Ovis aries: one gene and its partner. The protein of the gene in region 2 purifies or fractionates together with the protein of the main gene of each other region. This does not show direct contact. Links are inferred from orthologs where the notes say so. Each region holds a gene or a part of one and is shown on either strand. Other genes may lie near its edges.

What was found. Proteins that work in one complex are often made in the same cells at the same time.
Region 1: the proteins of AP2B1 (region 2) and BMP2K purify together in Homo sapiens (affinity purification with mass spectrometry; 3 studies listed by BioGRID and IntAct, with this or other methods). This does not show direct contact. The link is inferred for Ovis aries from reciprocal best matches to the Homo sapiens genes AP2B1 and BMP2K.

What each region holds. Positions count from the first base shown.
Region 1 is NC_056059.1:94,247,306-94,251,476, reverse strand, and holds the start of BMP2K (BMP-2-inducible protein kinase), read right to left. Parts: upstream 2,802-4,171; 5' UTR 2,326-2,801; coding exon 2,166-2,325; exon of another isoform or gene 2,134-2,165; intron 1-2,133. UniProt on the Homo sapiens protein: May be involved in osteoblast differentiation.
Region 2 is NC_056064.1:14,480,626-14,484,595, forward strand, and holds the start of AP2B1 (AP-2 complex subunit beta), read right to left. Parts: upstream 2,802-3,970; 5' UTR 2,562-2,801; exon of another isoform or gene 1,571-2,561; intron 1-1,570. UniProt on the Homo sapiens protein: Component of the adaptor protein complex 2 (AP-2). Adaptor protein complexes function in protein transport via transport vesicles in different membrane traffic pathways.

The DNA.
Region 1 (4,171 bases), on a different chromosome or scaffold from region 2:
ATGTAAACCACATTTGTACTTAAACATCTACACTGCGGCATATTTGGAAAGAAGAGAGAATATGAAGCATATGAAATGACAATATATCGTCAGAATCAAAGAGTGAACCGAATATAGATTTCAGTTGTGTGTGTGCTGGAAAAAGAAATACATAAGGGAACAAGACCAAGGACTCAGCCTTCCCTCCACAGAAGGCCAAAAGCCTAGGTCCAGGAGCTGGGGGTGTTGGGGGCGGGGTTGGGATGGGGGTGGGAGGAGTGCCATCTTTCAAAAGAGTTGGTTCAATGCTTGCTTCCTCCTAACACTTGACTGCAGATTTTTCCAAAAGAAATGACAAATTATGGCAAAAGGCAGCAGAACATTAACAGTGACATTAGTGACTGAAAGAATTTTTCTTTTAAATTTTTTTGTGTGTGGTTGAGCACTCCCCTTTTGAAAATTTTTTATTTGCATTTTCCAAAATTACTTTTTGTTGAAAATAGCTTGCTCAGAAGTAATCACAGGACATGCATGGAGCAGTGGCAAAAGCTACAAATCCAAAGTCTACTTTCATGAAATGTTGATGATTTCCTTCTATTAAATAAAAGACTCACCTGGGGTTTAGTGAAATGAAGTGAGTGTAATATTACTCAAGTCACACTTGAATTAGTTACTGCAGTTCAAAAGACAGAAGTACAGCATGCGAGTTAACAGCCATGTCTTCTGAAAACCTACAGCTTGAGCTACAACTAAAACATTTGAAATTCCTGTAACATAATGCGATAGGAACTTTCACAGCGTAGTAAATCTGTCTGTCAACACCCATTACCATACAACTCATTATTTGACAAGCTAAAGATCCTCCTCCCACCTCTCTAAGATTCAGCCAGGCTCATTACTAGGGGCAATGGCTTGCCAAACAATGCATCCATCCCTGAACCATTCAAATCTTCTTTCTCTTTAGAGTATGTTATAGACAATAACCTTTCATTTTTCCTCTTGTACTCATTTGCTATTGTTTACAGCATTTCAAAAAGCACAAGTGGAATCTCAGTCTACTGTCTCCAAACCACATCAACAACTAGCTCTCAGAGAACCAAAACTACTGTCTTCGATTTCTTCTCTCTTAATCTTGGAACTTAAAAGGGCCATTTACCAAGAAATTTGAAGAAGGAAAATGGCAACCCACTCCAGTATCCCTGCCTGGAGAATCCCATGGACCGAGGAGTCTGGTGGGCTACTGTTCACGGGGTCACAAAGAGTCGTACACAAGTGAGGGACTAAGCACACCAACAAATTATTTCTTGATAAGTATTTAAGTATTTTTTTGGTAATATCATTCTGCGATTAAAAACTCAAAAGCCAGTGAAACACGCGACAAAACAAGTTATCTCCTACAAGCCAATTATACACGATACACAAAACTAAAGTGTAAGATTTTTTTCTTTTTTTAAAAAGAGTAAACTTTTTTGTAAGCAGCCCTGCAACTGTTGACATAACCCGGTAAAGATAATGAGAGTTCCCAAACAAAACTTCTCAAGTGAAAGTTAACCTTTCCTACCGCCTTTTAAAGTACTATCAAAGAGACGTCCAGCAAGGATATGACTGGTCTCATAGAGAAGATTCTAAACAACAAAGCGGACTTCAAGTTTACCTGCTCCCCCCATGGCAACCCACTGACTGAAATCTGGGGCAAAGCATCACCTCCAGCACGCGCACAGACAGAAATAAATTGTTTTTCAACTGATGACTGAGCAGGAGCAAACCCAGGCGGAACACCCGGCGCTGCGGGGTCCTGAGCCCTGCGGCGCGGGTGGAGAGGCTAGTGCAGGACAGCCTACTGAGCCACAGCGGGGAGACAGGAGACCCAATCCTGCTCGATCTGAACCTCTAATGAGTCACTGGTTCAATCATGACACCGCAGCCCTCGCTAAGACGTTTCCTATTTATCTCCCAGCCTCAAGAGGGAGTGAAAATGACAAACTCGTGCTGAAAGAACTGTGCACGGGTCAGAGCTGCCGGCGGCGAGAAAAGCCGACTTAGGCGCGAGCCCCCGCCGGCTTGGCCGAGAAAGCAGGAGAGTGAGCCGCGAAGGCGCGGAAAGAAGCGGGAGAGAACGGGAGAAGCTACCGCCACACCCCAGCCCTCCCTCACCTGCCTGCCCGAGCCTCCCCGGGCGCCCGTACCTTCGGCCAGCGACTCCTCCAGGGTGACCTGGTAGCGGCCGACCGCGAACACCCGGACCCCCACGGACGAGCTACCGGCCCCGGCCCCGCCGGCCCCGCCACCCGCCGCTCCGCCGCCGCCGCCGCCCTCCGACTTGGGCATTCGAGAGAACTTCTTCATGGTCCCGCCGGCGCGCTGGAGGGCGCGGGACGCGCCTAAGGGCGAGCGAGAGGGCGAGCGCCCGGCCCGGCGTGCGCGGCCGGGGCGTCCGCGAGGGGTCACCGCCCCTCGCCTGTCCGAGCGTCCGTGCGCGCTGCGGCCCGCCGAGCCTCACATTCCGCGCGCCCCGAGCGCACTGCCCCGGCCCCGCCGCCCGCTCCGCGGCTCCGCTGCAGCTGCCGGGCTCCCGCAGAGGGCGGCGAGGAGGGCGGGGACGGGGCGGGGCGCGAGGGGGCGGGCCCGAGTGCGGGAGCGACGCGGCCGCCTCCGCCAGTGCCTCGGGCGCCCTCGCCGCCGCGCCAGGCGCCCGGAGCGCGAACCCCGGAGGAGGGCGCCTGGGAGGGAGAGGGCCAAGGGGGCGGGGCGGCCGGTCCCTCCGGGGAGTGGGCTGGACCACTCAGGCCTCACACCCGCTGGACCGCACCGCCGCCGCCCCGGCCGAACCTGCACCGCCCGCCACTCGCGGCCGTTGGCGGCGCGGCGCCCCTGCCAACCGCTCACTGAGGCAAGGCGCCCCGCGCAGGCGCGTTGCCTGCGCCGCCGGAAGTGACGGTTCCGGCTCTTGTCACGTGGAGGGGGGGACGGGGGAGGCGATAGTGGGGGTTGGGGACGAGGGCGAGGTCCGGAATCCCGGGTCGGGGGGCCTGGCTGGGAGGATTCAGGCCGGTTTCCTGAGGTCCCGGCTTCGAGCAGGGAGGTGTTCAGGGGACCGGTTTTGGCTCTGGCTGTGCGGCGAGAGGTTGGTATGTCACTCGGGGGCTTAAAAATGCCGCCAACAACTTCACCCCTGTGAAGGGACTTTTCTCCCTGCATTTCGAAGACGTTTTTCCAGAAATTCTCCCGAGAACCTTCTTCCGCTCGCCCACCCCCGAGCGTGGGAGGTGGGAGCAGCACAGAACTAGAGCGGATTTCAGTAACCTAACTTCTAAAGCCGTGGTGTCGCACTCGGTAACAGCCGCTTGTGCTGGGAGCGTTTTGCGGTTTATAAATGACTTACAAGTACTTTCAGAATCTCGTGTGTGCTCTGCAACCACCCTGCGAAGTATTCAGAACAGGTATTCAGTCCGTTTCAAGACCTTTCATCACCTTTGGGCAAGAGAGTTTAACGGCCTTGCCCAAGGTCACATGGCTGGCTTGTGACAGCTGCGACTGCGAGGGCCATCCTTTGATACTTAGTTTCATACTTCGGGCCATTCGGGAAAAGTAGGTTAGGCTCAGATCGTTGAAAAACGACAGATTTAGGACTGTTTGCAAGCAAAACCAGTCATTCCCCCCCCCCCCGCCCCTTAACAGAGGTTTGCCCATTAAAAAAAGACCCGTTGCATCCATTTCATAAACTGCAGGAATTTCAGTGCCTGCGGCGTGAGACAGGCAAAGTGAACGTTGGTGTAAGACGTTCAGAATGGTAAGGAATGGGAAATCACAGAGTTCATTCTCAAATACACCCTACTTCCCATCCATCCCCACCCGCGGAACCACCACCCTGTAATGAATACAGGCCCACTGTGGCCAAACGTTCCATTTGTAAAGGAGACATCTAGGGTTTTTTTTTGTTTGTTTGTTTTTTACCCCTAATAGGGCATTTCCCAAGTTTTTTAAATGTAGGCCAAATAAATTGTGTCTGCAGGACTCCAATATGCACCTTCTGTGAAAGTAGATACTGTGGTTCTATCCCCACCATGCCCCGCCCCCCATTTCTTAATCCAGCTTTTTAATGAGATACAGGCAGAAACGTTAGGAAATGTACTTAGGCAAAAGTTTTGGGGCTTGAAATCTTCCTTTTTTTTTTTTTCTTCTCGTCTGCTAT
Region 2 (3,970 bases):
TTTTACCAGGTCAAACTAGACAAGTCATCCATCGGCTGCTCTACCGGCTTGAGGTATGGCCTCAGGACATCGTTTTAAAACATAAATGAGGCTGACAGAGTCAAATGCACAATTTCTCTAACTTTCCTAGCCCAGAGTGTGATGTCACTGCATTTCAGAAAAGGCCTCTCTGTACAGGATTACACATCTAGATTTAACATAACCTAGTTTCTACTAAATATAGGCTGTGACAGTTTTCCCTTCTCAACTATCCCTCCTTCCTTCTGGTGCCCCTAAAGAGAATAAGGCCAGAAAAAAATTAATAGGGGTCTTAACTCCGAATGGCTCTCTGGGAAATAGCAGCTAATTTAGAGTTGGTGAGGCCAGTAAATCCACTCTCTTCACGTGAAGTTGGATTTTACACAGCTGGTGCCCGTAGGGAAAAAGTGAACAGAATTAAACCAAATTATAAAGTGGACAGGTCATCTTAGTAATCTTTCATTACAAGCATAAGGATGAGAAGTGCTAATTACACATTTCAATAACACATCTTCATGTATCATTTATTGCATACAAAATTACAACAGATAACTCATTACAACAGACATACCTATCATTCCCATTTAACTACAAAGTACTCTGCTAATATCATACAGTAAGAAAAAAGGTCTTAAGTTTCACATCCAATTCTTAATTGAAATAAACTCTGGAAAACTTAACGCCTGGAGAGAGAGAAGGAAGAAAAGAAAATGTGTCCTTCCTAATTTGTTACTTGTTCAGCTTGATTCAGAACTGTGCCTTAAATGTAATATTTTAAAACACAGGTAGAAAGCTGAGCACCGAAGAATTGATGCTTTTGAATTGTGGTGTTGGAGAAGACTCTTGAGAGTCGCTTGAACTACAAGGAGATCCAACCAGTCCATTCTAAAGGAGATTAGTCCTGAACATTCACTAGAAGGACTGATGGTGAAGCTGAAACTCCAATACTTTGGCCACCTGATGCAAAGAGCTGACTCACTGGAAAAGACCCTGATGCTGGGAAAGACTGAAGGCAGGAGGAGAAGGGGACAACAGAGGATGAGATAGCTGGATGGCATCACTGACTCAACGGACATGAGTTTGAGTAAACTTCGGGAGTTGGTGATGGACAGGGAGGCCTGGAGTGCTGCGGTCTATGGGGTGGCAAAGAGTCAGACACGACTGAGTAACTGAACTGACTAAAAATACAGGTGTGTTTAAAGAAGGAAAAAAAAAGATGGAAGAACCAGGTTTTCTTGAGTCTCTTAAGTCACAGAATGTTGTTTAGTGGTTAAGTCACATCCTACTGTTTTGCAGCTCCATGGACTGAAGCCTGCTAGGTTTCTCTGTCCATAGGATTTCCCAGGAAGGGACACTGCGGTGGCCTGCCATTGCCTTCTGCAGGGGATCTTCCCAAGCCAGGGACCAAACCCACGCCTACTGCAGGCGAGCCACCAGGGAAGCCCTCACAGAATGTTAGCTTTATACTAATTTTACCATCCAGCTTTCAGTGAAGCTATCTGCAGAACACCCTCTACTTTCGGCTTCTTTGGGAGTTTAAACTGTCAAATACCTGTAAACAGTTCTCACGTTCCCACCAGGCTTAGTCACCACTGGCAAAGTGTTACACGTTTTCTTGCACAGCTGCATCTCCTTCATCTGCTGCTTTCTATTATTACTTTGTAAGTGTACCCTGAAGCTAAGCAACACAAGTATACCAGGAAGGTGATTAATAATTTAAATTGTTCCTCACTGAGACCACTTTCTTGGTCATTCTATCTTTTCTAAACTTACTGCGTTTTTTTTTTTTACTTTCTCTTTAAACTACAAGGATTGTTAACAGTGTTTTGGCATTTTTAAAACCTTTAAAAGTGAAAAGTTTAATGAAGCAGCCACATTTTATTCACACCGCTTCATAATGGAGTTTAAAAAAGAGTCTGCCCCCAAATAGAAGAGTGCTGTTAAAAACTAACAGCATGAATAAACTCTTTGGATTAAAAAAAAAATGGAATTAACAGGAAGTTCCAGTTTCTTTACCTCTGTCTAATCCACAGCCTTTCTCAAACCAGACCGTTCCTTCTAAGACCCCGAAGAAAAAACTCCGGGCTAACATTTACTCTCAAGAGCTTCCCCCTCTCTCATATCGGGTCAATTCTCTGGGTTTTTCTTCCCTATCTTCGGAGTCAGGAATTCCTCTTCTTTCCCGAGGTGGTAAAAATTCTACGGCTATGTTCCTCCATTACGAAGCAGAGAGGCGTCTCTTAACCTCAAATGACGGGCGACGGCGAGGTTTACCCATCTAGGAGCAAAGCTCTGGGGAACCCCTTTTCCCTTTCCTGAGCTGAGCATGTCCTACCTAGCCTCTCAGAGAACGACGCCAAACCGGGAAGAAGCAAGGTTCTCTCCTTGGCCTCCGGTCTCCGCCAGCCACACCCCTGGCCTCTGACCCTCTTAACCCCCCGACTTCGAACATATCTTTCCCCCAATACCCCCCAATTCCCACCCCGAGGATTCCCTCGCCCCGCCCCAGCGGTGGAGTCCTTTTCTCCAACCCTCTTCCTCACAACGGTCACACCCGACGGCTCACTCCATCTTCAACGGTCACGGTCCTCGGATTTCCTCTCCTCCGCCTGTCTCCAACCAAGTCTGGGGATCCCCCATCCCCATCAAAAAGGGACACACCCCAGAGGTAGCCGCCTACAACTCACCGTAGGCAAGGGCGGGGGTGGCAGCAGCGGCCAGAGAGCACGGCCCGAGCGATGTTGTAATGGTTTCCTGCACGTCACGACTCCTTCTCCAGGTCTAAGCCACTGCGCAAAACCCACTTTGCCCGGTACAAAGATGGTGGACAGGAAACTCTTACGTCAGAGAGCCTCGCCGTGTGATGTCATCCAGACGCGCGAGAGAACGAGAAAGGAGGGACTACTCTCTGTCGCCTTGGAGACGGAAAAATTTTGCGCGGTGTGGTAGAGATCTGAGATCTAGGCTTCGGAGGAAATTCATCTGAAAGAATCTAGTAAACAAGCTGACATTCTCTGGATTTGTTTCCTCACACAAGACCTCTCTAAAAACTTACACAGAGTCAGTGAAATGCCTGTTGCTTTCTTTAAAAAACAACAAAACCCAGCTAATTCCTTGGGCAATTAAAATACACTGACAGTGGTGATCCAGCCCAGGATTATACAAGGGCAGTGGAACTGGAGGAGACTGGTGCAAGGAAAAAAGGTTGAGACGGTCTCAAATCTATGTGTGAATCCATTTGAATCCGAATCCCTGCCCTGAATGTGACTAGGAAAGTTACTTGTCTCTTCAACTTCAGTCTTCTTACTTGTGAAATAAAGACGATGATAATAACTCTTACCAGTTTATGAAGCTTAAACCGGATTAGGTTGGTAAGAAGCCTAGCATGTAATAGGTATGCTTTGTTAATTGTTTTAGTTAAGTCACAGCTGACTCTTGTGACCTCATGGACTGTAGCCCACCAGGCTCCTCTGTCCATGTGACTTCCTAGGCAAGCATACTGGGGTGGTTTGTCATTTCCTTCTCCAAGGGATCTTCCCCACCCATGGACTGAACCCGTGTCTATTGCATTGGCAGGCGAGTTCTTTACCAATGAGCCACCAGGAAAACCTACGAGTTTGCTTACGCGAAAGAAGTCCCTTTCAGAAACCAAGACCTAGAAATCTCTGTATCTTCCCCTCAAAACTAAAACTTCCCACATAAAACTGCTCTAAGTAAAAATAATAAAAAGTCTTTAATCAAGAAAGAAGAAGAATGTGAAGAGCCTAAGGCAGAAGCTGGGAAACCAAAATGCAAAGGGGACTGAGAAGCAGTCAGAGAGGTAGAAGGAAAAGAAGGCAGTCATAATGATTTAGAATGTTTTTAGAGTTCTATGAAAGTATAGAACTGAATATCAAAACTGTATCTCTGAGGCCTACCCCCCGCCTCCCCCAAATTTGTTGAATGACTAAAT